4 linked regions of the Struthio camelus genome follow. The protein of the gene in region 1 binds, or shares a complex with, the protein of each later gene. Links are inferred from orthologs where the notes say so. Each region holds a gene or a part of one and is shown on either strand. Other genes may lie near its edges. The genes, in order: F2, SERPINE2, SERPIND1 and FGG.

What was found.
Region 2: the proteins of F2 (region 1) and SERPINE2 are in contact, whole or in part, in a crystal structure (PDB 4DY7), measured with the Homo sapiens proteins. The link is inferred for Struthio camelus from reciprocal best matches to the Homo sapiens genes F2 and SERPINE2. Residues at the interface, in NP_000497.1 of Homo sapiens: His406, Tyr410, Pro412, Trp413, Trp455, Arg456, Glu457, Asn458, Leu459, Glu509, Thr510, Ile542, Asp562, Ala563, Cys564, Glu565, Trp590, Gly591, Glu592, Gly593, Cys594; in NP_006207.1 of Homo sapiens: Val225, Arg288, Ser355, Ala356, Thr358, Thr359, Ala360, Leu362, Ile363, Ala364, Arg365, Ser366, Ser367.
Region 3: the proteins of F2 (region 1) and SERPIND1 are in contact, whole or in part, in a crystal structure (PDB 1JMO), measured with the Homo sapiens proteins. The link is inferred for Struthio camelus from reciprocal best matches to the Homo sapiens genes F2 and SERPIND1. Residues at the interface, in NP_000497.1 of Homo sapiens: Lys384, Ser385, Pro386, Gln387, Leu389, Leu390, Cys391, His406, Cys407, Tyr410, Pro412, Trp413, Asp414, Lys415, Leu423, Arg425, Ser430, Thr432, Arg433, Tyr434, Lys440, Ile441, Ser442, Met443, Asn458, Leu459, Lys470, Trp511, Ala513, Asn514; in NP_000176.2 of Homo sapiens: Glu75, Asp76, Asp77, Asp78, Tyr79, Leu80, Leu82, Ile85, Phe86, Asp89, Asp91, Val305, Glu306, Met307, Thr308, His309, Gln327, Asp343, His361, Lys362, Arg388, Thr457, Val458, Gly459, Phe460, Met461, Pro462, Leu463, Ser464, Thr465.
Region 4: the proteins of F2 (region 1) and FGG are in contact, whole or in part, in a crystal structure (PDB 2HWL), measured with the Homo sapiens proteins. The link is inferred for Struthio camelus from reciprocal best matches to the Homo sapiens genes F2 and FGG. Residues at the interface, in NP_000497.1 of Homo sapiens: His450, Pro451, Arg452, Arg461, Arg486, Ala489, Ala490, Leu493, Ile530, Val531, Glu532, Arg533, Cys536, Asp546, Asn547, Met548, Phe549, Cys550, His605, Phe607, Arg608, Leu609, Lys610, Lys611, Trp612, Lys615; in NP_068656.2 of Homo sapiens: Pro439, Ala440, Glu441, Thr442, Glu443, Tyr444, Asp445, Ser446, Leu447, Tyr448.

The regions. Positions count from the first base shown.
Region 1 is NC_090946.1:39,725,464-39,732,717, reverse strand, and holds the start of F2 (prothrombin), read left to right. Parts: upstream 1-4,242; 5' UTR 4,243-4,367; intron 4,368-4,758; 5' UTR 4,759-4,773; coding exon 4,774-4,852; intron 4,853-5,782; coding exon 5,783-5,946; intron 5,947-7,254. UniProt on the Homo sapiens protein: Thrombin, which cleaves bonds after Arg and Lys, converts fibrinogen to fibrin and activates factors V, VII, VIII, XIII, and, in complex with thrombomodulin, protein C. Functions in blood homeostasis, inflammation and wound healing.
Region 2 is NC_090950.1:12,846,564-12,853,452, forward strand, and holds the start of SERPINE2 (glia-derived nexin), read right to left. Parts: upstream 3,019-6,889; 5' UTR 3,009-3,018; intron 1-3,008. UniProt on the Homo sapiens protein: Serine protease inhibitor with activity toward thrombin, trypsin, and urokinase. Promotes neurite extension by inhibiting thrombin. Binds heparin.
Region 3 is NC_090958.1:9,956,034-9,963,400, forward strand, and holds the start of SERPIND1 (heparin cofactor 2), read right to left. Parts: upstream 3,014-7,367; 5' UTR 2,883-3,013; intron 861-2,882; 5' UTR 845-860; coding exon 1-844. UniProt on the Homo sapiens protein: Thrombin inhibitor activated by the glycosaminoglycans, heparin or dermatan sulfate. In the presence of the latter, HC-II becomes the predominant thrombin inhibitor in place of antithrombin III (AT-III).
Region 4 is NC_090945.1:39,324,269-39,331,095, forward strand, and holds the start of FGG (fibrinogen gamma chain), read right to left. Parts: upstream 3,002-6,827; 5' UTR 2,735-3,001; coding exon 2,663-2,734; intron 2,570-2,662; coding exon 2,525-2,569; intron 2,075-2,524; coding exon 1,891-2,074; intron 1,779-1,890; coding exon 1,685-1,778; intron 167-1,684; coding exon 36-166; intron 1-35. UniProt on the Homo sapiens protein: Together with fibrinogen alpha (FGA) and fibrinogen beta (FGB), polymerizes to form an insoluble fibrin matrix. Has a major function in hemostasis as one of the primary components of blood clots.

The sequences.
Region 1 (7,254 bases):
ATCACGTCCAGGTGGGTTGTGAATATCTCCAGGGAAGGAGACTCCACAGCCTCTCTGGGCAACCTGTTCCAAATCCTCAGGGACAGAGCCTCCGGGTGAGAGTGTAGGGTATTCATCTTTTTGTAAATGTACCTAAAGCGTTGCAATTGCTGATCAAACTATGTAACTCACCTCAGGAGCATATTCAGAAACATCCCAGCTTTTGAACGAGCAATCTATATTGGTCGCAGAGCAGACAAAGGCCCAAGAAAATAGGCTAAAGTCAAATCCTCTATATGCTGCTCCCAGGAAGTTGGAAAAAAAGTTACATAAGAAATAAACAGTTGCAAAAAATTTCCTCACTTAAAAAAAACCTCAGTCTATATGGAGCAAAGAATCAAAACTCCCAATTGGGTTGAAAACCATGCCTTTGGGAGCAAAAAAGGTACAAATCTTTATTACTCTATGACAGGAAAACAACATCCTTCACTCATGGCATAAGCGCAGAAAGAAAAAAAAAGATAAAAAGTTGCTTACAGGAAAGGTGAACAGAGACACAAGAGTAAAATGTTTGAGGTGTGGAAGTCAAAGCTCCTGGAGAAGTGATAGCTGATGCACGCTATCCTGCTGCAGAGGCTAATCACAAGAATGTGTGGGGGAAAAAAAACCAATTACTGATTTAAGCTAAAGTTTGTCTTTATTAAGACAAACTTTATTATAGAGAAGACAGAGAAACGAAGGAATGGAAAAAAAGCGTGACTGAGTATATTGAAAGCTCCTATGAAGGAAAAAATTGCATCATTGGGAACAAAGATAACTATTAATAACAATCTTGTGTTAATCTTATCTTCAATAGGTAAAAAAAAAACCTGAGAGTATCCCATTCCAAACTTACAGATACTGAACTATGTAAATTATGGGCTTGCATATGTATGTGGATTTATGAGTACACTTTACACATTTACAAAAGGTGCTATACAATGTGAGGAGAGCTGAATTGCTGGCAAGCTCACATAAACCCTCCTGTGAGAGGCCTAACTATAGGCCCAAGTACAAGGCCTTTGATATCTCTGCTACCTTCTTCACCATGTCACCAGTAACACTAACAAGGGATCGGTAAAACAGTCAACAAATCACAGAAAAGCTATTCACCACCAAGGTTATGATCAATCAAATGTAATCCAAACATGAACCAATTGTACATATATATTTAAAAAAAGGAAAAAAAAAAGTTCTCAGAATATGGACCCTTTCTCCCCTTTGGCAAGGTGGATCAAGCCCTGTCTTTCTGATCAGAGCAAGTCTATGGACTGTTCTTCCGAGTACAGGGTGGTTGAACAGTGGCTCCTCTCCTTATACCAATTGTGTTTTGGCCCACTTTGTGGCTGCGCGCAATGCACCTCCTGCTGATTACAACACCCTGCTGGGAGATGGCCCCCCCCCCCCCCCAACCTGCTCCAGGAGCCCCTGTGAGACCAGCACAGAGGTGGCTGAAATCAGGACAACTGAGCTGGGAGACGGGCATCTGCGGGGCCAACTACTCACAGGAGGGTTGCGGTTCTGCTGGGTAGGCAGCGTATTAACCACATTGACCCCATTGCAGCAGGTCAACACGCTCCAAGGGGAAAAAAAAAAAAAAAAGATCAGAGCCTGAAGTCTACCCAAAAGCACCGGCCAGATGGAAAGGCCTCACAAAAGTGTTAAAATTAAGAAAAAAAAAAAAACCAAACAAACACGTTAATGCTGGATCTGAAGTACTGCGCCAGAAGTTACAGCAGCCAAATGAATTAATGCGTCAGACTACAGGCTCCATACGCAAAGTAAGTATTACCTGTAGAACGGATGCCCAGGAACACCTCCGTCTTCCTCTACGCGCCCGACCGGCTGTCACAACGCACGCTGAAAAACGTCAACGCGCGCAAGGGGACTTGGCAACACCGGCAAGCCCTTCTTCATTGGACGGCATGGGAACGACATCCACGCACCAATTAACAACTGAAAAGCAGCCTGACCTCGTAGCAATACAAGCCTTACATCAGAATCAACACATCATCCAGCCAGCCCACAAGGCAAGTAGCTGGCGCCGCTGCTGCCCAACGGTGCGACATCAGCGGCAGTTTTAGCTCCAATACTACTGCTATTCTACACCCCTTCTCGTGCCCAACGTTAGTTCCACTTGCTGCTACCCTTGTATTATTAATTGCAGCAATTGTGTCATAGATAAGAAGCTTTCCAGCAACCAGAAAGCTTACCGATGTAACCTGCAAACTACAAAATCTTCAGGAAAGGGCAACTGTGCGAGTGCATCACGGGGTGGAGCGTAGCGGGACCAGCCGGAAGACCATTGTGCACCAAGGAGTTAGAGATCCACGGAGCAGCTGACCTGAGGAGGCGCAGGCCTGTGCTGTGCTGCGCTGCACATATCACTTGGCCGCAGGATAAGCTTGGCTGGCTAATTAGAACAGAGGACTCTGCAAGCAGCTCCCGCTTGGTGCCTGGCGATGATGCCATCGACACGTTCTTGCCTCTGTCTAAAAGTGAAGCAGCATGTTTTCATGTGAACGTCCTTTTGCTCGACAGTAGAAATGACGAACAGAGCTGTTTACGTCTAAGAACATCCTACAAGAGCTTGGAAAACCCACAATGCCGGTGAACCTCACCGTGGATGGGATCTGTGCAGTGTGTCACACACTGACTAAAGATCCATCCGATGCTACACAACTTGGGTTTCCCACTATCTAGAGAGACATAAGATCATCTACGCTATCCCCTTCCTACTTCTTGTGTCAGCTACAATAAACGTTGTTCTAATCAATACTTTACGGGGTCTGAGTGCCTTTCTTAATGGGATCTATAACGAACACTTGCACCGGTGCATTACACCTCCATAAAATATGGCAGCATCTGTCTCTCTCATCACTGCTATAGGGGGTGGTGGTGGTGTCAGTCTTCCTGTGATGATATTTCTGTGCCCTGCATTCACATCCATATGGACTTGCTCAGGCATGACCAGCAGTCCTGAGGTCATGTGTCCAACCTGCAGCATGAGCCAAAAATCAAATCATCACATAGAAAACACATAGGTGTGTCCTTGCTGCTATCCTCTGCTCCCCAGGCAGCTGAGCCTGCCAGCGGGGCCTCCAGAAGTGTGGAGCCGTTTGCACCTCCCCTCACAGAGAGAAGCAGTCGTGACTGCTACGTGAGACATGAGACAGCAGCAGCCCTGATTTCATCACTGTTCAGAAAACTGTTTGTTCAGCGATGCTTCCTTCCTGCCCCAGCCTCATAGCGGCCCCTGCCTGTGTAACCCTCCTTCCATAGCGCTGCTTCCCTCATGCAAAGTAAAACAGGGTGTTTCTAGGCTTGTGGCTAATCCTGCGCACACCTGCTCCTCCACCTAGGTCATCTCAGCCATTCCTAAAAACATCTCTCCAAAGTCCGGGTGAGGAAGTATGAAAACAGGGAACGGTCTTAAACACGGGAGAGAGTCTGTGCAACTGCTCTTTGTACCAGTGGCCAGAGAGTCATTCCTCAGCTACCCTAATGCTAATATTTGCACATCTACTATGGAGATAAACATTACGGATATGTCTGCTGCACGGAGGCACAGCACAAAACATGCTCCCTGCTGGCAGAAAGCACTTTTGTGCCATGTGGCAGTTCCTGGGACTACCCTCACCTTGCCCTGCTTTCCGCTGTTTTCTCACAGTGAGAGAACAGTGCCATTTTTTGCTTGTTGTAGGAATCACTAGAGCTTTCTCAGGTCAAGTAGCCCAGTTCGTGGCTTATTCATTAGCTGATGTCATGACACTCAAGATAGTCCTGCCTCCCTATTCCTGGAAGCCCTTGTTTTCCTGGCTGTTTCGGGCTTGCATGTTCCTTGCTTGGCAGAGCTTCTGTTTCCTTTTGGATTTATTTTAGTATGTTCCACTGGTGTGGGAATAAAAGGGGGGACCCAAACTTCACTGCCTCACCCTCCTCCTGGGAATCTTAATGCAGTGGGAAGTATGCAATGAAAATGGCCTTGCTGACCTAACTGGGAAGAACATTTAAATTCCACAAGGACTGTAGCAGGCACTCCTGCTCCTTGGCATGGGTGAGGGAGAACAAGGGGGAGACAAGCTGGCTCTTTCACGCTGCTCTAGTGCCAAAATAGCTGCGGCTGAGCTTGCTGATAACTGCAGGGAGAAAAGACAACAGGACTCCGAAGGGTGGGCTTGTAGCTAAAAAGAGGACTGGGATTGGCTAAGCTCTCCAAGTCTTGCTGCGCCTGAGGCTACTAAAGAGCCCAGACTGTGAGGAGACTCAGCTGCAGGGAACCAAGCCAGGGTGGTGGGGAGGCTGCAATCCTGCCAAGAGCCAGAGGATGAGCAGAGTGAGCTGCTCTGGTAAGGGTGGCTGTGAGCTGGTAGAGACCTCTCCAACCCAAATTCTCCCGATACCCTGGGACAAGCTCATCATCTTGCTCCTCATGTCCTCTTCCCTGCTATGAAACGGGATACTAACTCTACTCCTGTTGCAGGGGGTGGGGGGAGGGGGAGACCAGCACACATCCAGAGATGTTTTGTGTTATGGTGTGGTTTCTGCCAATGAAGTATGAAAAGGAAGATACCCTGAAGGGAAGGAAAAAAGCCAAAAGAGGAGGGATAAGAGGAGCCTCAGCCCCACTGTCCCTGACACACCACGACCTCTGGAGTCCTGTTTCTTCATTCTGGTTCAATATTAACCCAGCAGGGCTGTGACTCCGCTTATTCTGTTCCCCTTGCGTTTCCCCTGCAGCCAGGGCTGTACAGCATGGCGCACAGCAAAACCAGCATACTGAGGGGCCTGCTCTTTTCCAGCCTTCTGCACCTCACATTGAGCCATGACGGAGGTAAGAGCCAAGGGCCCAGGGAGGAGGGCAGTACCAATGGGTGATGGAAGGAAGCAAAAATGTGGTTATTTCTTCTCAAGGGTAAAGCCCGTGGGAGATTCTCTAGGTAAGGCAGGGGGAGTTTCTAAAAGCTTTAAGTTGGGAATTAAAGGGTGCAGACAGTGGTGTGAGCACAGGGCTTTCCTGAGGAGGATGCAGCAGCTTCCAGCTGCGGGCAGGAAAGCCTAGTGACAATAGCTCAGTTGATTGTGTGGGCCACAGGGGAGATGGCAGGGAAGGGGAACGTAGCTAGGTCCAGGATCTTGCATGGCTCAACTATGGGCCTGTTTGGGCTAGTTAAGTCAGTTGACTTGGGTCGCTGCAATTCTCCATTTCCTCCTCTGTCCACCCTTATCTCCACTTCTGGTCATCTGCAATACACAGCTGTCCTACACTCACTGCTCCTTATCTTTTATTACAGTCTCTTCTCCCTCTATCTTTTCTTAATCTAAGCCCACTACTGTGTGTGGGAAGACCTGTTTACAGGGCTGAGATTAGGGTCTCTGAACATGAAGACAGAACCAAATTGCACCTTATCGCAGCAGTTTGAGGTCAGCAAGACAGAACATAGCAGTTGGCACAGACCAATAGCAAGCTCAGGCAAACAACCTTCTCCCTAATGGCAAACGAGCAGAGCTGCCCTGCCAAGGATAATGGAAGATTCCCCTCACTTCTGAGGGGAATCTACGTGATGACAACCCTCACAGCTTATAGAGACTGCACTGATCATCAGGTGTGGACATGGGGGGTTGCTGCATGGTGGAATGGGGGTGGGGCTGGGCTATGGGACCAACACACTAGCTGAGTGCGATTTTTGGAAACAATAAGGGGAGACAAAGAGGCCCTCTCACTGCAAGCATCCCATTGACTGGCCCTGTTCTGACTTGGTAGTTTTCCTGGACAAGAGGCAGGCACTGTCACTGTTCAAGCGCCCACGACGTGCCAACAAGGGATTTCTAGAAGAGATGCTTAAAGGCAACCTGGAGCGAGAGTGCCTGGAGGAGATATGTAGTTACGAGGAGGCCTTTGAAGCCCTGGAATCCACTGCTCGCACGGTAGGTACAGGGCACATGGGTGCTCCTAAGAAACATTCCCTCAACCAGCTCCTGTAGCGAGAGACCAGCATGCCACACACACAGCCAGGGACTGGGGGGTTGTAAGACACAGTGCTGAGAGATGAGGCTGATGTGTGCATGTGCCCCTGGGACAGCTTAAACTTCCTTAGGGAAGCTTGGATTCTTTTCCCTCCCTCTTTAGTTTAAGGACAAAGTGAAAATGAAACAGCCTTCCCTCAGCCATCAGTCAAGAACTGCACCTTCCACTTCAGCATAGTGCCACACATCTTCAACTGCCACAGCCCCCAGTGGCCCTCCAGGACACTCACAAAACAGCTGGCTTAGCAACCAAATACTGAGTGCAGGTGCCTCAAGACCCTTTGAGCTTAAGCTTTGGCACTGTCCCTTTTTCTGGCTTCTGGACTCGCTCACTGCAAAATTTCTGTTGGCATCCTTTTAGGAAACGCTCCTAGCCCCAAGATCAGTATTAGTGTTGAATTCCGCGTTCCAGAAAATACAGTGGTAAACAGACGAACGTTTGAGAGTTCAAGCCAGTAAGGTACAAGCTCTACAGAGCATTTCTAATGGAATTGCTCTCAGGCATGAGAGGTCTGACAGACATAGATCTAAAGAGCTGAGCAATACCTGCATACTATCTGTGGCCTCCGTTTCTTCACTACTCTAGAGCGTCCTCTGCCTTTTACCAGCCTTTAGAAGTTCTAGATCCAATTCCTTGGACTTCTGTAGAGTAGTACAGGCTTTGTTTCCTCTGCACATTGATAAGAGAACCACTGCAAGCATCTCTGGTCTCTTGCAGAAATGCCAGGCCTCTCTATCAGTCTGCTTAGTCTCCAATCCATAAAAAGTGATCAAAGTCTCTTCTTAGATGATCTCTGGCTGAATTAACAGCCTAATATGGATAGCAAATATTCCTGCACAGTAACTGATCTTTGGTTGCATTGAGTTTGCATCTCTGCATTTTTTAGGCGCGGTAATTTTCCTTGGCACATCCTGCCTGTTCTAGGTCAATACAGAGGCTACAAAGACCAAGCGCAGGCTCAGGACACATTAACAACCAAAACGTCTTTCATAGAATGGTACAGACTCCTGCAGACATTAGGTTAATCCATCACAGGGACACTGCTATATTGCAGTACTGCCTTTTATCAGTAAAAGGCATAAGGCAAAGCACATTATATGGTGGTGAGATAAAAACATGTACTTTGGGAGATCCAAGGCTGTGAATGGAAAGCAGCTAAGCAGAAGCCGTTATTGCAGCATTCCTCAACAGAGTTGTACCATGTCCAC
Region 2 (6,889 bases), on another chromosome or scaffold:
CTTCAGATAGAAAACAACCCTCTTTCCCTTTCCAAAAACAATCATGGATTTGGAGAAGAAAAAAAAAAAATCAAAGTTTGACCACCTTCCATTACAGCACATGATTCATGTTTCTCTGCAAATGCTTGCCGCAGAAGCTGGTAAGGTTATTAATACACATGAATATCCCGTGGGAAACTAGCAGAGCATGGGGTTCCCAAGTTTCTTTGCTAGTGTACCACTTGCACAGTGGGAAGAGGGGGAGCCCTCATTCCAGGACACAGCCACAAATGCAGGAGATGGCATTTGACTGCTGGGGCACTGTTCTCGCGTTGGTTTCGGATCTGCTTGCGGACACAACTGGAGAGCCCTAGCCGAGGCTCTGCAGTTCAGGGAGCTTGCGGATAGCAAGCCAGCGCTTCAAAGCCTGCTGAAGCCCTGTGCACATTAAAAAAAGCAAATAAATTGGTGACAATTGAAGCATTGCATATTTTTGCCTAAAAATAGCTCTCCCACAATCTCACCCCACTTATTTCACCACCATGGCTCTTCACTGCCATTAATTTACACTTACAGGAAAAGAGGAGGAATTATAGTGTTTTACTTCTTTACATAAATATTTTGCATTTTAGTGCATCGCACTTCAGACATGCTTTGCAGTGCTGCACAGAGGCCCCAGTGAAGGTTTAAGGTATATGCAATGGTAAAAATACATTTTCAGAACCATTTTTAGAAATACCTGTCAGCATTTGGATATCTGCAGAGCTGTGAAAGTGCAGCTGCCCCTGGAAGAGCTGTCACCGCACTGATACTTCCCAGCAGCAGACCCTGTGATTATAGAGATTAAAGGCACAGGTCTCTTAACTACAGGCTTAAATGCAAGCCTGGGAAGAGCTCTGCCCTCCTCCCTCCATCAGTTTGCACTCTGATTAATCCTTCTGAAAGGAGGAGGGCTGAGACATGCAAGAGTGGCAGAATTTGGGCTATTTATGCCCTGAGCACGGGGCGGGGGTTGAAGTGCCTCTCAGGGCTGGGGAGGAAGCGCAGCTCATCCCTGAGTGCACGGAGAGCTAAAGATTACATCTGAATACCCTTCCTTTAATCAAGAGCTTCCTCTTGCTTTGTTTTATATACCAGTGAGAACAGCTGAGTGTTACCTTCCGCCTGATTTGCTCCTCTGTGCACAAAAACAGCAGAGACCCTGCAAAGGCCGAATCCTGCCTGTCCTGTGCCTTAAGGAGTCACGTCTGTGCCCAAGGAGCCAGTCCTAGAATAAAGCCTTGCTCTGGGCGCTGGGAGATGAGAGACATTCAGACAACAGCGTGCAGCATCAGGTCCCACGGGGAGGTCCGCTCTCGTCCCTGTCCCTGGCTGTCACTTCCCAAGCGCTCCCGTGCCTTGGACCTGGCAGCCAGGTGACCATTTGGCAAGTGAGGCCCCTCTCCAATCCGGCAGAAAGCTAACCCCCCAGGAAACGCTTTGGCACGGGAGGGGACGAGGAGCGAGAGGAGAGCAAGACTGCCCCTTTCAGTGACAACCTGCGGCTACAGCAGACTGAGCACATCCCAGAAGTGCTCCCAGCTTTAAAAGCTGTAAGCGTGGTCTGAAGCCACCTCCTTGTGGGCACAGCGCGCCATACCCAAGAAAACGTGCAACACGAATAGCTCCCGTTGTCCAAAAAAAGGGTGGCAAAGCTTTGTCCAGGAAAGGACTTTAGCTTTTCATTCAACCGTTCACTGAGCAAAGTTTGGAAACCGGTCCCCATAACAAGATGGGTATTAAACTGCTCCTGTTCTGCAATGGCTTTTGGAAGCCAGGCACTGCTTGGCATAGCAGTGCCTGCAGTATTGGTTCCAGCAGCTTGGGGCTCTTTCCACTTTGACCGTTTTCCCCGCAGGTACGTTCATGCAACTGCTTCTAATCAAACCCAGTTGCTGGCGCCGCTTGTGCGGCCGGAGCCCAGGCCCGCTGCTTTCCGCCGGGCTTTCAGAAACGACGGGCTTGCAGCAGGAAGTCCCCAGCGCTCCAGCCCTTGCTTCAGTGGCTGCTTCTGCTCACTGCTAATCTCCAAAAATACAACTGTGAAACAATACCGTTCATTAAATGATAAAATCGAGCTTTTTTTTTTTTTTTCCCCCCAGTCGCCCTGACGGCATGATCACACCGTTGCGGCAGAGGCGACCGCGTATCACGGCGGCTGCTAGAGCCCCCGCCGGCCCGAGGCTCGCCGAGCAGCGCGTTTCCCAGCCTGTCTCGCTCCCCACAGTTCTCGTGCACTTCGCGGTCTCCAAGGTCTGTGAAAAAATGCAAATTTCTATTTTGGGGGAGGGGAAAAAAAAAAAGTGGAAGTGGTTCGTTTCTGAGACAGCTACTGCCTAAGCGCGTAAAGGCGAGGAAGGGGAGGGCCAGGCTGCCACGCGAGCAGAGGAAGGGCGTTTTCTGCGCCGAGGGTGGCGCGTCCCAGCCCGCCGGGAGCCCGGGCGGCAGCGAGGCCGCGGCGCCGGCCGCCCAGCCTCGCCGACGGCAGCAGCTGCTCAAAGCGCCGGTCCTCTAGCCGTACACCCTGCACGTCGGCATCAAAACGCGCCCCCCCACCCCCCTTCTTTGGGCTACAACTTGGCGCTTTGTTGCTTCTTCAGGTACCCCGGAGGGGAATAAGACGACGACGAGGGGAAACGCCTGAGCGATGGGATGCGCCCCAACGGCCGCGCTGCTGCAGCGACGAGAAGGGCTGGAGGAGCGTCCTGCCCCGGTGAGATCGTCGCGCTTCCCTGGACCACGCGGCTGCGTTGCTCGTTGATGTATTTTCAGCACTTTGTAACGTGTGCCTGTCAAGAGAGCTGCACTGTACAAATACAGATGAATACAGTTAAAAACACTTGGAAGCTTAAATCAGCACATTTTGGAATAGGCCACCACTGCAGGCCACTATTCCCTTAAAAAGTGTGTGTGTGTGGGGGGGGGGGGGGTGGACAGGGAAGCAGGAAATAAAAGGCCGTTCCCTGCAGATGCGTTCCCATCGGAAACACACACAACGCGCTTTATTTATTTATTTTGGAACAGCCCTGGAGAACCACGAGACCAACAAGAGACCATAATTGGCTAAAACTGCTGACTGGGGCTTAGCTTCACGTTAATTAAAATTATGGTATCTGCCTCACGCTAACTAAGCGCGCCCAAGGAACCGTTCCCGAGGCTTTGAAAGCCTCCCCGCGCAAGCTCGCTCGCTCCCGCGCCGGGCCCGCTCCCTTGGCGCGCCAACGTCCCCGTCGGAGAGCTTCCCTGCCCCAGGAGCTGCAGCCGGTCGCGGGCGGGCTGCCGGCCCCGGCGAGGGCTGCCCCGGGCGGGAAGGCGGCCGTCGGTGCCGGCGCTGCGGGCCGGGACCGTGGGAAACCCGCCCGGCTAGTCGGGCGCTGGCAGCCTCTTCTTTTCATAAAGACGAATAGCTCAGCAGCGGAGCCCTGGAACCGGAGAAAACTCTCCCATGCTTTCCCTGTTATCTCTCCGGCTCTCTCGAGCTACATTTTTGGCAGCCACTAACCTCATTTCTTCCTGCAGGAGCTGCCAGCGAGCCCTTTCCCATTGGCTGCGTTTCTTCCCATCGCTTTTCCGCTGCCGGGTGCTCAGGCAGGAGGGTCGCGCGCGGGGGCCGGAGACCGCCGCAAGGGGCGAGGACAGGGCAGAGCCCCCCGCCGTGCCCCCGGCAAATCTGCCTCGCCGCCGCTGCCCCGTTGCCTTTCGTAAGCTGCGGCGAGACTTGGCCCTTGCAGGGGTTTGGGCGCGCGGCCCTGGGGGGCATTGCGGCGCTGGGCTGGAAGGGGCGCGAGAGCAGGGCTGGCGGCAGCTCCCGGCTGGCAGAGCTCGGCCGCCCGGCGCTCGCCCGAAGGGCCCCAGCTCTGCAGGAAGGGCCGCGTCTCGAAGCGGGAGGTTTCGCGAGCCCTTTTCCTTCTGCGCGCTTCCTCGGCAGACCAGAAAGAGCTGGGGCAGGGGAGCCCCTCACCTGGGCGGCCGGCGCTGCAGTCCCGGCGGGTAACGCCGGCAGAGAGCTTAGCTTCCAAATTATGGAAAAGGAGTAGGAACGAACTACCGACTGGCGACGTTTGCAGATGCTCTAGAGGTGATGGGGGATCTTTTATGTTCTTCTAAATTAGATTCACAGAAATTCATTTGGTGATGCCCAACCTGTAGGCCTAGTACCACTAAATCATCCTTTATGAGCTCATAAATACACGTTTCATTCTTTGTCACATTTAGTATAGAAAATGATTTCCACACATAGACATATTTCAGCTCCCTTTTAATCACAATCTGCCACCTTTTTCTAGCCTTTCAAATTTATAGCAACATTAATAGTTCAAAAATAATAGTGTTTACTGAGCACTAGATTTCAATAAACTAGGAACACGCAACAGTTCCTAACAATGACTCTCGAAACCAACAAAGCCTGAATGAATGTCATCTTTTTCACCCTGATTAACACACCCTCATCTATCGGCAGAAAGTTTCCATTGCAACTGTAAGAAAATAATTCTGTGGATTATGTCATATTGATTCCAAGTAAAATTCAAAGCCAAAGAGAAAGCAGAAAGGCATTTTCTATGTCCTCAAAGAAAATATCACTGCTTCAATTAGGTGCTACAGAGGCTTGGAGTAAACATATTTTCCACCGGTTTTCTCAGAACCATGCCCACTTAAATCTCCAATATTCTTCTGCATGCTCATTTTTCATCCCAGTTTAATACCACGCCTCTGGGTGTTAGTGGTTAAGGAGATGCTGCCAAGCAACACAAGCCAAAAAAAGCTGGGATGAGAAGGGAAAGTATGGCCTTTATATAGTAAATAAACTCTGCAGCCTTAGTGTTATGGTTGCTGTCAGCATAACTCGGAGGGGAAAAAATTAACCCAGTGCTAGTTCTGCCCTTCATTTCCTGGACCATCTGAACGTCCAGTTCTCCAGTTTTCAATCTGCCTTCAATCCAGTGGGAGTAATACAAAAAAATGAGCATTCAAGTCTAATAAATCTCATCTTTGGAGGGAATCACTGGTATTCAGAGTTAAAACAAAACTAGATAAGATGTTTCAATATTTCAGTAAATAATTTAATTTCATTTTCAATAAAATATTGAGTTCTAGGGAATCTAAATACACTGTTGATGTAACGATCATATAGCAATAAGATGGGAATTGCTAACTCCAGTATCTGTAGGTAGTGCATGTACACTATACATAAATACGTGTCATATGTATACAGATATCTTCAAAATAATAAAAGTTAGCAACCTCATTGCCAGAATGAGCTAGCAGCATCCCAGGCATTAACAGTTCAGAAGATAAAAACCTTCTCAGCTACAAAACTCCTTGCCAGGAGCACTGGTGCGCAGGAGTGACCCGAAGGCGGGGATGCCGGGGAGGGGCTGGGGGATGCACCTTCCTCTCCAGCTGCAGACCTTTCTCCTTCCCACTGATACTCCACCTTTCCATGGGACAGGTGATGAGAAGCGTGAGTTGATGCTATCCCTGTCATTGCTACAAAGGATACAACTTCCAAGTCCTTGCAAAGCATACATCAACGCTGCTTACAGAGCCAAGTCCCCTGTGGTCCTAAACGTGCTGCTCTACGTCCACTGACACCAACAGAAAATTTTCACTCAGAGGCTATTGCATATATCCCAATCTTTGCAAAGCGAGGGGGGGTGGAGACAAAGGCGAGAAAAATCAGTGGCTTTATAGGTGTTATAAATGCAGCTTACTTTAGAGCTAAAAAAAAATCCTGGCAGATGGTCCACAACATCTGGGAGAATGTTAATGCCCAGATATAAAATTTGTTTTCTCTGTTTCTCTTTGTTGGGATCCTATTTGGGTCTAGTGGGTAGTAGTAAGGTCTATTTCCTAGGCTTGTCTCTCAAATTTAAATCTCAAAGCAAAATCTGTAAACGTTACAACCTCTCAGTTATTAGTATAGTGCAGAGCTGAATTCCAATCAGTCAGAATATGCATAAATATATCACATAGAAGTGTGTTTGCAATACTTTCCCAAACAAACCTCTAAGAAATTGTTTAAAAAGAGTCTAGCTGAGAAAGAAAAGAAAACTGACTGTATTAGCATACCCCGTGAAAACAAATGGTTTGACCTTGTAGCAATAAACATAGGAACAGCTCTATTAATCACGTTAAAAAAAAAAACAAAACAAAAACCAAAAACTAAGATTATGAAAGTTCACTGTTTTGGGGGCAGGAACCATCTCTTTTTGTTCCTCTTTGACAGCAGCCACTAGCCGCGGCAAGCGCTCCTCAGGGCTGTAATAATTCCACGTTACCGTGGTTTCGGAGACACACGATATGCCGGCGGTCCCAGAGGAGCAGCACAGGAAATCTGCTTAATCTGCATCCGCTTAGCCTATCCCGGCTGGTTTTCAGAAGTTGTCACTTCGGAAGCGGGAACCGAATCCGAGGGCAACGCTCGGCTCGTTCCCGGAAAGCCTTGCCCCCGCCAGCAAGGCAGGGCACGCCGCAGCTCGACGGCCGGCACCCTTCCCACCCGTACCTTGCCCTTTCCTGTAATTAGCTCAGTTTTTGGAGTCGGAGAAGTCCGGGCTTCTCTCCCCTGGAGTCCCGGGGCTCCGGTTACAGCCGCAGCTCCCCACCCGCCCCGCCGGTGATGCCAGGCAGGTTTTGCTTTTCAGCAGCCAGGCAGGAAAACCACGGAGCCTCTCTGTTCCAGATACCAGGTCAGATCTGCTCACAGCCGAGATGCTACAAGCAAAAGCGATGGGAAGAGAGCTTCTTCTCAGCCCCAGCTGGCACCAGAAGCCTCCACGCCAGCCTTCCAGTCTCCGAGGAAAATGAGCAGCTATCTATAATGCATCAACATAAAGCTACGGTAACAAGGGCTGCCCACCCACCCTCGCAG
Region 3 (7,367 bases), on another chromosome or scaffold:
GACAGTTAAGGATCATCATCAGTGTTGTAGGGTTTACATTCACAAGAGCTTCTTTTATTAATCCTTTGGTCAGCTTCAAGATACGCTCATTGGTTTTAGTTATGAAGTTAGGATCTGAAAAATCAGCTGGTTGGGCATCAGCATAGTAGTATGTTTTCATATTGTTTTTGAAGTCATTCAGAATAGAAAAGTCCTTTTGAATATAAAGATCACTGACAGACCTCAGCGTATAACCAAAATTGCGCCTGAAAAGCCGATGAGTGAGTTTGCGGAAGAGATTGTGAACAGTCATGAGCTCATACTTGGTGCTTGCGTTAATGAAGTCTTCAAAGCCAAGAACAGATAACACTTCCTGGTGAGTGTGACCCTTCAGTCCCAGGGAAATCATAGCCATTGCAGTGGAAATACCTACAGGAGCCATCAGAATATTGTCTGAAGAGTTGGCTTTATCTGCCACGCTTCGGTAAAGGTTGAAGCCAAAGTTTGCATTGAGGATGTTAAGGCGCTGGATCCTGGTTTTGCCTTGAAAAAGTTCAAGAATATTTCCTTGCTGAATTTCGGAAATCATGTATGGACCAGCATCAATAATGTCACTGTAGTCGTCTTCACCCAGTATCTTGTCAAGGTCTAGATAGTCCTCTTCCCCCTCCTCTTCAGGAATCAAGTCATTAGTGATAGTGTTTTCTCTGTGGAACTCCGGTGGAAAGTTTGGCATATCATAGGTCCCATTTTCATGTGAATGTGCATCTTTAAGGCTTTCAAAATGCTCACTAAAGTCCTTGATTCCACCAAATGTGGAGGTTATAATGAGAGAAAGGGCAAACAAATGAAGTGGGAGCTTCATTCTGAGAGGTTAAAAGCTGGAAAACAGTATAACACAGTTGAGAAGGTGTATGGTAATTGCATTTCACGGTTACCTATTCCCTAAGTGAGAATTTCAGGTTCACTCTGAATTCTGTCAGAGTATAAGGTCTGTAGTTATCTTATTTGACAGTACTTTTACTGGTACAGAGCTTAATTAGTTTTACTGCTAAAACATTTTTATTTACCCAGTGTCTCAAGTCTGACAAATGATTTGTTGACCTCTTGCCATAGGAGAAGTAGTTATTGACATTCGAGCGGAAACAGACTGGTTACCTAAAATACCTAGAACTCCTGATTTATAAACCAGTAACAAATAAATTTGTACTAGCTGTATTTCTAATATATGCTAACAAGCAGATGTGAAGATAGCCTCAAATGTTTGAGCTTGGGAGGAAGAGGGACCAGGCATTCATTAAAGGAGCATATGAGAAGTCTGGGATGTGCAGAAGAATTTGAAAAACGTATATTGCGTAGCTACAGGAAAATATTGGAGTTTTATGAGAGTATTCTTTGGAGGGCAGGGCTGAAGTTGGATGGAATAAAGGAGACCTAAAGATGTAGCAACAAACCCGGAGACAGGCATGCATTTGTAATAAATGCCCTTAGTGGGACTGCCTGCACTGCATTAGGTGTAAGCATGTCTTTGCCGACTCATGGTCTTACTCAGGTGTGTTGCTCCTGGACCATGCACACTTCTAACAACTGTGGTGTACTAATCTGCCTCTTTCATAAAGAGTTCTCTTGATTCTGTTCATTGTTTGATTATATTTACTTTCTGTAGGACTGCACAGTATGAAGTACTCTCTTTGTCTTCTTCATGATGTGAAGTCTCTTTAAGTTCAGATTTAGAACTTTGATTCTCTAGTGTTAATGTTATTCTGATGCTAGATTTCTAACCTCAGTTACTTTGTTTGAGAATGTATTTAAGTAGAACCTCCTTTTTCAAAAAAAAAAAAAAGTCTGTTTGTCTATTGAGTATTGTGCTGTAGCATTTCTCTGTGATTTTTGAAGCCAAGGACTACGCCTTAGATGCGTATTATGTGAGGAGAATGAATCAGCCTTCCTCAGCTGTAGAACACTGTAGCCAGAAGCAAGTCTGAGAGAATTTTCTCCATAATCATGGTCTGCAATAATTAGTGGCCTTAAAAAGATACAAAAGGTATAATTCCTTCATATGATAATCAAGGAAAGTCCAAAATATAAGAATTTAATAATTCTGTATCAATTGAAACTGTAAAATGATTATCTGAATGCCAGGCTCTTGATTTCTGAACAAATTCCTTGTTTGATGACTTGATGACTTCATAAACTCAGTTTTCACTGTCAGTATTTATTTTGAGTGAAAAAGCAAACATTTACAGTATAATCTAGGGGAAAAAACATTGTATACTGTTAATACAAAAATCTTACTAAAAGCATTGATGAAAGGGTTTTTAAAACTAGCACAGAGTGCAAAGAGCTGTTTTGTAGAAGTGAAATGTGTGGATACATTTGTCTGTGTAAATGTGAATAAAGCCAACCTAGGAAGATGAATATTTACAAACGTGCTGTAGCAGGACTGAAGTAATTAAGCAACCATTTTAATCTATTAAATTCCTCTCTTTAAGCCTGCACTTCTAAAACCATTTAAGGTGATATATCAAAATAATATATTTTTTGGTAATAATGTAAAAATAATGAGCAGCTGCCTTTTAAAGAGTTTTGCATTGTGACTGAACGACCTCAATCAGTATTTTTCTTGCATCTTTATAAATTCATTGCTTGTCTTTCCCTACCCTCAGAAATAAAGCCTCTAGGGCTAAGGTACTCTGTGCTGTAACTATTGATGAATAAATGTTTTCTGCTTTTGTCATACAAGAATTTGCTCTCTGTAGTTTCCAACTTGACATTCTCATCTTTACCAAAGTTTAATTGTTGTTTCGCTGCATTTATATAGGCAAAACATTCCCCCACACCACAATAAATGCATCTTTGTGTGAAATCTAACTGAAATAACAGAAGATGTAAAAGAAGCTTACCTTTAAGCCACTGCACAGAAAGGATGTGTTGAATAGCTCCTGTAAGGGGAATAGAAGGGTTTAAAGCTGAACTTTGACGCGAGTTTTTTGTGTATCTCCAAAGTAAACATGCTCTAAACCAAACACTAACTTGCTTTGTCAGCCAAAATCCCTCTCTTTGCATAGTGATCTCTGCCGAATTGTATGTTATTTGTTGAGCAACTCTTACAGCTTTGTAGGTACTTGTTCACTTTTGAGGAAAATCTTTGAGCAAAAATTGGTGTGTATGTAAGGTTTCAAAGTCAAGCATGCACATAAACTTGACTGTTCATGAGTAGTAAAAATCATGTCGTTGCTACTTTGCACTCGCTCAAACTGGGGGGCATCTTACTATTTTTATGTCCCTAAAACACAGAATCCTCGATTGAGGTCACTGTGATTGGGATGTTCGGGTTACTTTAGTCAGTTTTGTGTTGTTGTAGACATCTGCTTTGCACAACCAACTTGTTAGTACAGTGCTTTTCACCAGCTTAAACTCAGGTTAATTTTACTGAAAAAGACGCTTAGATTGCAATCTTGCATTTTCTTAATGAAACTTCCATTAATCATATCCAGTCAAGCTGGATAAAGCTCTCGGTTGCTTTCTTTCACTCTTTAAACACGGATGTGCTTCTAACGTTTTTTTAGGGTCACAACAGTATCAGATTTGTTTTACAAATTTATATAAAATTGCATATCATATTGACTGGAAGTATAAAGTGCTCCAGTGCTAGTGGCTGTTTGTGCAAAAAGTGTCAACTTTAATAAATGTATTAAAAATAATGTTCTTTTACTTGCTTGTTTAGTAAGTTCTCCAGGACTGATGTCATTCTGTGCGTGGGTGCAAACAATAAAAGATCCCCAAATGGTGCCTCAAAATATTTCTGCAAAGCCAATAAACAATAGCAACCAAAAATACCTTAGACTAATATTTCTTTTTGTTACTGACTTCATTTGCACTGAAATAAAGTTGCGTGGTATTGCCTTCAACTCACTGTTTAAAGAGTGCTGTGATCTCTTCCTGTCTCCAGTTCTTATATACTGATAGTATGTCCTCTGTAGAGGTTACTGCATCAATATGGTATATTCCTGTGTAAAACCAAGTGAATTTTTGCTTCATGTATTTCAAATACTATCATTTAAGGTATTCTAACAAAATCAAATTTTCTTCGGTGTAATGATAGCAATGTAAAGTTAGTTTAGAATAATATTAGCCTAATATTAGAAATTACGTGACAATATTGCCTTTGGAAACCATACTAAATTAAGGTACATGAAGCGATTCCTTAACATGTAGTTAAGTTACCATAACCCCCCGCATCTTTAGATTTTAATTTTTATTTCTTTGTTAGCTCACTAGGCGCTTGCCACCCATCAAGGAGGCTAAGCCCAGGCTGCAAAAGCTGTTCCGTGACTTCTGGTTGTATTCAGTGCTGATGGGATTTGCTGTGGAAGGATCAGGTAGTGTAAATTCTAGTAGAAAAGCATTGATACCCAGTTTTAAACTCTTGATGAACATAAATGTAATTGTATGAAAATCATTCACAGTAGGCTGAAGAAGGATTACAGACATAAACAAAATGTAAAGTGAGCAGCTAATGTGACAGTTTTCTGGTAGAATTTCATTACATCCTGGTCCTATTTTGCTACGGGATTCAGCACAGTATGATTTGTTCTTGTACTTAGGTTTTTTTTTTTTTTTAATTTTTTCAGCTAATACAGCTGGTTAGCCATGACTTATAAATATGAGTTTTGATAGCTAAGCTTCTGAGAGGGAAGATCAGACACATAGGTAGAAAACATTAGGTAGAAACTTAGGTACCAAACAGAAGGTAGAAACTTATCCATGGGGAAGTTTCCCTTGGAGTTACCTAAGCATATTTGTTAGGTTTGGGACACAATCCGTTATACTGAACGCTTGTGCATAAGCCCATGGGAAGTTGGCCCTAAGAAGTAGTGCAAAGCTTGATAATGCTGGTTAACTTTGTGAGTCTGTTAGATTCATTAGAGGATTGGTAAGAATTTGATTTAATGATGATAGTAATAGCTGAATATGGTTCATTGAGCTGTATCAGCCTAATATATTGTCGCGCCCCCCCCCCCCTTTTTTTTTTCCCCTCTCCCACCTCCCTCTTTGTGCTTGTGCTCCAGGTCTGTGGCCAGAAGAATGGTATGAAGGTGTATGTGAAATTGCCACCAAGTCTCCATTACTCACATTTCCCAGCAAAGAACCTCTTCGATCTGTTCTTCAGTACAATTCTGCCATGAAAAATGATACTGTGACTTCTGTAAGAATCAATATCTTTTATTGTATTCTTCTATAATGTCCTCCAGGTATTAAAATAATATAGTATCCAAGGAATACTTCATTGGAATAGCACAATACTGTTTTTACCTTCCTCTTATTAGTGAAAAACAGCTGTTTTTGCACTACTTTTATGGCAACAGTATACGTGAATGGCTTGGGTTTGTGTTCTTTGAGTGTGATAATACATGTGTTTGATGTGGTAGCTACACTATTTTAGTTAAGTATAGAAACCAACTCCATGTGGAGAGGGAAGCCTTCTAATAGTCTGTTTCATCCATTCTGTATCAGGCTGATAAAACTTATACTATAAAAAAAATTAGCTTTGGAAGGAAACAACCCGTTCATTCTCTCCTCTTGCTCAAAAAAAGGTTGATTGAGCTTTTATCTTTTTTCTTCTGACTTAATACTGGTATACTTCTGTCTCCCTAGTGTCTACAGGATAGATTTTACCTGAAGAGTATTTGTGATAGGAGTGTAAGTGGATTGAAGAGTTGCAGCTTATGAGATGCCTCTGTTTGGCTCCCAAATAACATAGAAATCTGCATGTATCTAGATGTTTAGTCCTGTGATATCAAAGCACAGCACAACAGTCCTATGAAGTTTCAGAAGCTGGATAGCAAATGCTTTCAGAACACAAACTATTATAGTCCTCCCACTTTAGATAACTGAATGTATTCATCTTTAGGCTGAATTAAATGAGTTACGGAGTACCATAATAAATCTCTTGGATCCTCCTCCAGAAGTGTCAGCGTTGATCAATAAATTGGACTTTGCCATGTCTACCTATCTCCTTTCTGTCTACCGTCTAGAGTATATGAGGTATGCGTGTACCTTTTTTTTTTTTTTCTGTGCTGGATTTTTTTAAATCATGTTGGGTGTTTGCTTTTAGGGTTTTGTTGGTTTTGATTTTTAATTTTTAAATGTTTGAGTCAGAATTGCCAGAAACTAAGATAAATGAAAACCAGTATTTTGTGTCAAAGTAGCTTCATGAAGACTGACACTAGGAGTTCATCTGTGCCAAAATTCCTTTAGGATGAATAAAAGGATGGAATGCTATAGCTGGGCCCCAAAAATGTGAGCTACTCTGTATAGGAACTAATTGAAGATGGACAAAAGGGCCCTAGAAAGGACAGTCTTGCAAGCATAACGCATCTGCACAGAGATGAGGTCTTATGCTTTTACCTCTGAAGAATAGCACAGGTGGTCCTCTGTGCTGTTGAGAGCATTGTAGTCGAGGAGCTGAGAGAATTATTTCTGTAGTGTGCTTTTATTCCCTTCACTAGTGTGATTTACCAATTTAATTTACTGAATGCATTTAATTTACAAGTTTATTGATTACTGCTATTCAAAAAAAAAGTCTGTAGGTGAAAGCTGAGGTAAGGGTCTGGCAGTGAAGAAAACAGGAAGAAACTTCCCCATCTCATATTTACTTTGACAGTAACTAAACAACAAGGATATTTCCTGAAACTTCTTGGCTGTCCTTTAGAAACAGTCTTTTAATAATTAATATATCTCGTACAAATACAGCACATGCAGCGGCCTATGGAAATGCCAGGAATTGTACCATGCTTATGTGTTGGTGGTGATTATGTAAGTGCATCATCAGGTTTACCCCTCCTGTGGTGTGGAAGTTATTTTCTCGGTGGCAAACCAGCTCTTTATCATCTGAGCCGTGTTAGTTCAATGTAGAAAGAAATGGCAGTATCAGACTTCCTGGAGAATTAAAATTACTGTGCAAACAATCATTACTGTTTGTGTTGGTATGTACTGTGCTGTTAAAAGTACTCTAGATTTGTGTTGAAGATGTTTAAAAGAAAATAAAATAAAAAACAAAACAAAACAGCCTTCCCTCAAAAATGCAAAACTGTTGCCCTTCTAGGGTGTTGCGTTCAACAGACCAAGATCGCTTCCAAGTCATGTTCTGCTATTTTGAGGATAAAGCAATTCAAAAAGACAAATCTGGTAAGATTCTAGTATCTCAAGTTGCAACATAACCTAGATAAATAAAGTGTGATCTCCAGGCATGCAAAACTAAAACAAATCAAGCTGAACTAAGTAACAAAGTGAATCACTTTCAGTAGGTTGCTATTCTTTTATTTTTGCCAGAGAAAGCTGATTTTATTTTGAAACGATTTTGTTCACTGCTGACTGAGTAAACA
Region 4 (6,827 bases), on another chromosome or scaffold:
TTATCCCTCCACCATACGAGAAGTATTTTGTGCACCTCTTCCAGTTGTCTCCTGTATTTCAGCAGTATCTTTGCATGGCTCCTGACAGCGTGATTCAAGCTGAGCAATCTTCTGTTTTAGCAGTGTGATCTTATTGTTGTTAATTATATGCGTATCTGTCAACTGTCTGCAGAGACATAAAAATGGCTTGTCGTCAGCTTGTTGTCGGCTGTTTCTTACTGACAGTAATAAACATTTTCCAACACACACATGCCTTACTTATCTAGTATGCCATTCCAAAAGGGCTGTCTTTCTTAGCACTGATATTTAAAGTTGAGGAAGCCCTGAAGAAAGGAAGCAGCCTTTGCATTTACCCCCAGGCAGAGAAGTACCATCAAATTCTCCTACAAGCAGTAGAGTAGGCGTTACAGCCCTCAGAGCTCCTCTCAGCTAGTGCTCTGGGAGAAAATGAATTTTCTGCTGCCAGCTACTGTTTGGTGCAGAAGGTTCAACCTATGCTCTGCCATTCACTGGCCCCTTTTTTCTCGTGGCTTTGACTGGCTGTGAGTGAGTATCAAGCACTACTGAGCTTGCAAGGACCACTGTTCCAGTTCGCGTCTCGGCAGGCTGTTTGAGTATCGGTAGGCTCTTTTCTCCTTACGCCCTCCCAAGTAGTGAGATTAGAGCTTGTTACCCGCTTGCCCCTTGTAAACAGTCAGCAGAACTATGGCAATAAGCAAACAGAATTCAATTTTCACGTAGGCATAATGTTTTTAACCAAAATTGCATTCCAAAGGCTGCAACCTTTTCTGTTGTTAGATTACCATGAGAAGCATGGTCCCTCATTTCCTTTATCTTCGCTGTGACTTGCTCCTGTCCTGTATTCAATACTCCGTACCCAACTGGCCAAAACAGGAAAGCGTGCACTTGACCTTACACCAAACTTGACTTGACTTTATCTCTCCAATCAGCAAAGCTCAAACCAGTAATTAATACATGAATACAACTGTATAGAGAGTTTTTCTTTCTTCTCCTGAAGTATATGATAAATTATTCTTTTTAATTATGGATACATTTGTAAAACATAGGTTGTACAACTAAACTGATGCAATAGCTAGAGGGCCTAAGTCATCATTGATATAATATTATACGGAAGGGAGATTTTGCTACAGTCAGGTCAAAAAAACATACCATTAACATTTGGAAAAGTTAATGATCTTTTCAATCCTATCTTACAACGTCTATTTACAAAAGAAGGTCACTGAGTTTATAGTTGCTTATGATTTATATCAGCGGAACTAAGAGCCGATTTTCATGGATATATGCAGTAAAATTAGCCAGAGTCAGTGATTATATGGATATTCAATACACTCTTCAATACAGCACGAACTCATTTTAATAAATCGCCAAACTGCTTGGCAAAATTAGTAGGAATAGTTCACATAGCAAATGAAACATAAATAAAAAATTTGCCAGCCTTCACAACATTCTCATCTCGCACCTCTTGCCCAATTAATGGGTTAGGTAGATGAGCAAAGAATGCTACATGAGATCCTCATTATGACTTACTAGACAGCTATTAAAAATGTGAGCGTAACGGTCCAGATAAGCACAGAAAACCTTTCTGAGAAAGCCTTAATGCAGTTGATAAAAGAAGAGAAAGAAAATGGTCTGGACTGGGATACCAAAGGTGGAAGATACCTACTGTATAGTATTTTCATGAGACAAAATAGTGTTTTCATATCTGATAATTTCTTCAATTATTTTCCTGGACTTTTGAGTAAATCCATCAATTGAATCTGTAAAACAGGCAAAGATGTAAAATTAATGTAACTAATTGAGCAAATGAAAAAACAAGCAAACTGCATAAATGATATTTTTTCAATGGAGTCATTATTTGTGTATTCTCACTTGGTAGTGTCTGCTTCTCAGGAGGACTGATGGTTCGGATGTGTTGGATCAATTGCTCTGTTGATGCTGTGGAGTTAGTGATTTGCTGCAAAATTCCCTCAATTTCCTGCAGTTCATTATCCATAGTGAGATGGTATTTATTAAAGAAATCTGCAATGCCACAGGTAGTTGGGCAATAGCTACCCTAAAGAGGAAAGAATAATAATTGATAATGTTTCAGGAGCAAAAAATAGCAGCAGAATATTTGGGCAGGAAAACTTGCTGTCACTTTTTATACAAATAATTGTGGACAAAAAAAAGGTAGGCATTTGCCATTTTGTCTGCAGTATTTGAATTTATAGGGACAATTTAGTGTCACGCACATATACATACACACACATAACAAGAAAATAGTGCATGCTATTACTTTTAGTGCCTTCTGGATAAGTGCTTTTATCAACAGTGCAACCTCCTGTACATTTTTAACAAATGTGTACCGCTATTAATAACTGGTTTAAGCACAGAGCATTTAATAAGTGTAGAAAATAACAATGAGGCTCAAATAAAGGTACAAATGTGTGCCGCTAGTTCATAACCAGTGCAACAAAGCTTTAGTTAGCCTCTTAACACAGAAGAAAAGTATTCAGATACTTACAAATCGCTCATCTAATATGCAGCAGTTTTCTCTAGTAGCGATGTACTGAAGAGAAGAAAGAAGATCATTTTCAGTGAATTTTCTCTGACAGCATTTTCAGCACTGACATGTTTTCTAAAACTCTCTAGCTCCACTTACCGCCATGCTAGTAGAAAAGAGCAGGGAGAAGAGAGGCCCCAGAGGCACCCAGCTGCCCAGCTTGAGCACCATTGCATCCACCCTACCACGCGCTGCCGGCTGCTCTGGGCAAGTGCAGGCAGCAGCCGAAAATGTTCAACCCTGCGCCCTGGACAGTGCCTTTATGGTCCTCGGCACACCAGAGCAGCGGTTTAATGGAGCAGGCTGGAGCGGGGGGCGGGCACCGGGAAGTAGCGGGAAGAGGCGGGGGTTTGAGGTAGATTCCTGGAATTTGCACACATCTCCTCCTCCTCCAATGTTCAGGACCCGCTTCCCACTCACCCACCTTATCTCTGTTCCAGCCAGGCGGTCTTAAGACAGGCCAAAAGGTGGAAAAGGGCACGGAGACACCACTTCCACTAACATGAGAGCAAGAAAACTCACACAGGGTTTTGGAACGGGGCCTGACGGAAGTTTCATTTAATGAGCATAAGGACATACTAACCCTCTGAATTATGTGTAGGAACCATCAATAGCCTAGTAAATACTACCTATCTAAACTATCAATATACTATCAATACTAACCTATCAACAAACTATCAACAGCCAAATAAATAAAAAGAAAAATTTGCTGCTATGTAGTACTTTCCCTCAGCAGATCTCAGCGTGCTTTGCGAAGGGGACCGCCATTCTCCCTATTTTGCAAATGACAAAACTGAGGCAGAGAAAGAGCAAACTGAGGCAGAGAAAGGTATGAACCCACACTGGGCAGTGGCGTATCTGGAAAAAGAAGCCCATGGTATTTCTCACAGGCAATGAAAGTGTGGACCTTTTCCATCCCTCAATCCAAGGAGTCCGTTTGAACAACTTTGATCAAAATTTCCTTGTGGGGAATTAATGTTTTCAGTATCGCAGGATCAGAAAGGTTTCTTTGTCAGTTGCCATGCGTCTGGAACTAGTGTTTGCGGAAATGTACTACTTCTAGATAAAACTATTATCTCCCTGGGGGCAGAGGCTGACTCTGAGTTTACATTTGTACTCTGCCTCATTCAATACACCTAAGAAGACTGGTGACAGGATCCCTGCTCTGCAACAGACTGTATCCCAGGAGAATTATTTTCTGTACGTGCTTCTGCTTACTCTCTGTAAAATACCAGTGTTAATATCTTTCTACTCAGGTTCTGCACCTAAATCTTCTGTTTAGGCTACAGCTTCTTCAGAGAAAGCCTGCATTTGTGCCTGTACCATATCAGGAGCGATGGGGCAGTGTGGACTGTGACTTCTGACTTCAGTGTATGATTGACCAAAAGATGAGAAGAAAGGTGGGACTGAGACTCAGGAGTGCTGAGCGTCACCACTAGATCTGTTACTGGCTGGCCTCATGATTTCAGGCAAATGTCTTCACCTCTGTACTGTAGAGGTGCAGTATTGATCTTCAGCTTTCTTTGCTAGCTATTTAAAAACCGTAAGAAAAAAGCACATCATAAAAGCTAGATGTTATACTATTACGAAATTAGATATGATTATGTCGTGAAACACAAGAGTTCCTGCCCTGTACATCATCTTTTCACCTGGCCAACTGGGAAGTTCCCATCATGTTCAGGGATCCAAAAACACATTGCCAGAACCATATGTGAGCATTTATGATGCTAAAAATCAAACTTATGGGACATTTAAGTGGAAGCTGAAGCACTGTGGATGGGAGAATCAGCTTTGTAGCGACCATACCAATGACGGTGATTCAGTTGCCTGCCTGCCAAAAATCCTTTTGAAGGGATGACCCTAGAAGTTTGTTCTTGCAAATCTTGCATTGGTTGGTCCTTTTTCCCACATAGTGAAAACGAAATAAATAGAAATGGGTAAAAAGTCAACCTGCTCTTGTTGTGTTTCTATCATTGCTTCATTGGAGCTCTTAACTTGGGCTCAGGAAACGACTATCAGGACCCACTGGACTTGGAGAGAATCTCCTTGCCACTGCTGCTCACACATTGCTTGAGCTTGCTTTGCTGCTTCACAGGCTGCAGGTCTTCTGCTGGAGTGAGGCTGCTCTTGGGGCCAGAGGGTCCTGGATACACAGTTTCAGTGGCTGTGCACCACCAGGCTTCCGTGAGAAAAGATTATATAGCGTGAGTAGGTCACTGGCATGAACTTCCCAAAATAACTGGGCAAACTTCAACCACAAACGTGCATTCAAGAGCATGGACGGGCACGTAACGTTCACAACATGACAGGTGAACCACGTAACACGATCCGGGTATCCTTCATCCCTTAGCAGAGTTCAGAACATGCCCTTTTCTTTTTTCACTAATAATGGTACATATAGGCGTGATACTCTTTCAGAACTATACTTGGTAACAGAACACGGAAATTTTGGTCTTGCATTGCTAAGCAGGAATTTCAGGATTCACAAAAGATTGTAAAAGTCAGTACTGCCAGTGATAACCATTAGTTAATCTTGAGATAAAATGTCTAACATCTTAAAATTAAAATATGATGACAGTTGTAATGAAATAATTTCAATGTATAATGTGATAATTTTTACTAAAGTCCTTAATATCTTAGGTAACAAAAAACAATGTGAGAGTTTCATTGTTCCAAATAATTTGCTAGTTGGTTTTGGAAAACAAGCAGATCATTATGCCTACAAATGGGTTAGGAGTTGGAAAAGTGAATTTTCAGCAAGTTGCTTGTATTATGCAACTTTCTAGGATCACTTTATAGATCTATATTCACAAAGGAATCAATCTGAAACATTTCTTTAATGATTAGCAAATATGTGTATACTGTATAAGTGCTGTCTAGTTGTATTTCTGGTGGCAACCTCTTGTACTTCTTGGCAGGAGATGCAGCTATTTAAACCTCACAAAATGTTTGTTTGCTTTGCTGATTACACGGTCATGACTTAGCCTTGCGTGATTAATCCTTCCACATCCTTGCTTCCTTCTCTTTCCTTCTATGGTTTCACTTGGCATGACTTAGAAATAATTTATTCCTACTTTCTCATTAGGTTGAAAACAATACTTATGCTTAGTGGAACGGCTATGCAGTCGTTTTCCTGCCCTACATACTATTTTCCCTTGGTTGGTCCTGGCTGCAAAACAGCTGACCCAAATGCTCTAGAGATCTAGTTGTACTCTGCTATATGTCCAACATAGTTCGACTGTGTTGATTTTATGACCAAATTTATCTTTCCAGCAGGTTTATTTGCTGATTTGCTAACGAATTAGGAATGATTAATGTAGCACAGACTGAAGGAAGAGTTCTCAAATTCAGTTTACCATTTTTCTTGCCATTTATTATTTCAGTAGATAGTAAAGGTGAATCATTATTTGTTTAGAACAGCCTTGTTAATGAAGCTCAATGGGTGAGTAGCGTTTTATTCATCAGATACACCCTCATCTTCTCTGTCTCCGTACCTCCATATAAATGCAGCTATAATTCAGTGAGTTTATTATTATCGTCAAAGAGCCACTGGGAAACTATCCAATACCTTGCTATTATTCATAGTAAATCTTTCCTCAGAAATACAAAGCAGGAAAAGAAACGTGTTTCTATTTGTAAATTAGTTCCTGAATATCAAAGCATTCTTACGGCTGTCTTGGAAAAACAACTGTTTCCAAATGTATGACTCATACTTATGTGTGCTTACGAATCTAACATGATCAATATATACAATTTCAGAAATGCTAGAATGATACTTTAACATTTCCAGTGGGATTTTGTTATTGTTTTAACTGAAACTGTTGAGTGGGCTTGAGTTGGATTTGCCTGTTTTTTCAGGTGCTCTAGAAGTGAATTTTCTTATAAAAAAATAAATACCAAAAACAAATATTGAAAAAAAACCCAGAAGTAAATACTGAAAAAAATGTCTGTTTTACTTCACAATCCATCATCAACATAAGTTACTCTGGCTTGTACTACTAATAAGCTATATAGATTGGTGTGCACAGACTCTTTTGCCAGGCCAGTCTATGAGTGAGTTGATAATTTGGATGAGAAACAGAGATGGTTAAACAGCTGTGTAGTGTTGAAGCCATGCTGCCAGTGTGCTAGGAAAACTACCGCTTTACAAATAAAAAATAGAAAAGTGAAAATGAAAAAAAAATACAGTTTTGTATGTCATCTTTCTCTTTCTCTTTCAGTATTTAAATTTTAGTCAAAAAGTACAGGGCAACATTTTTGCCAA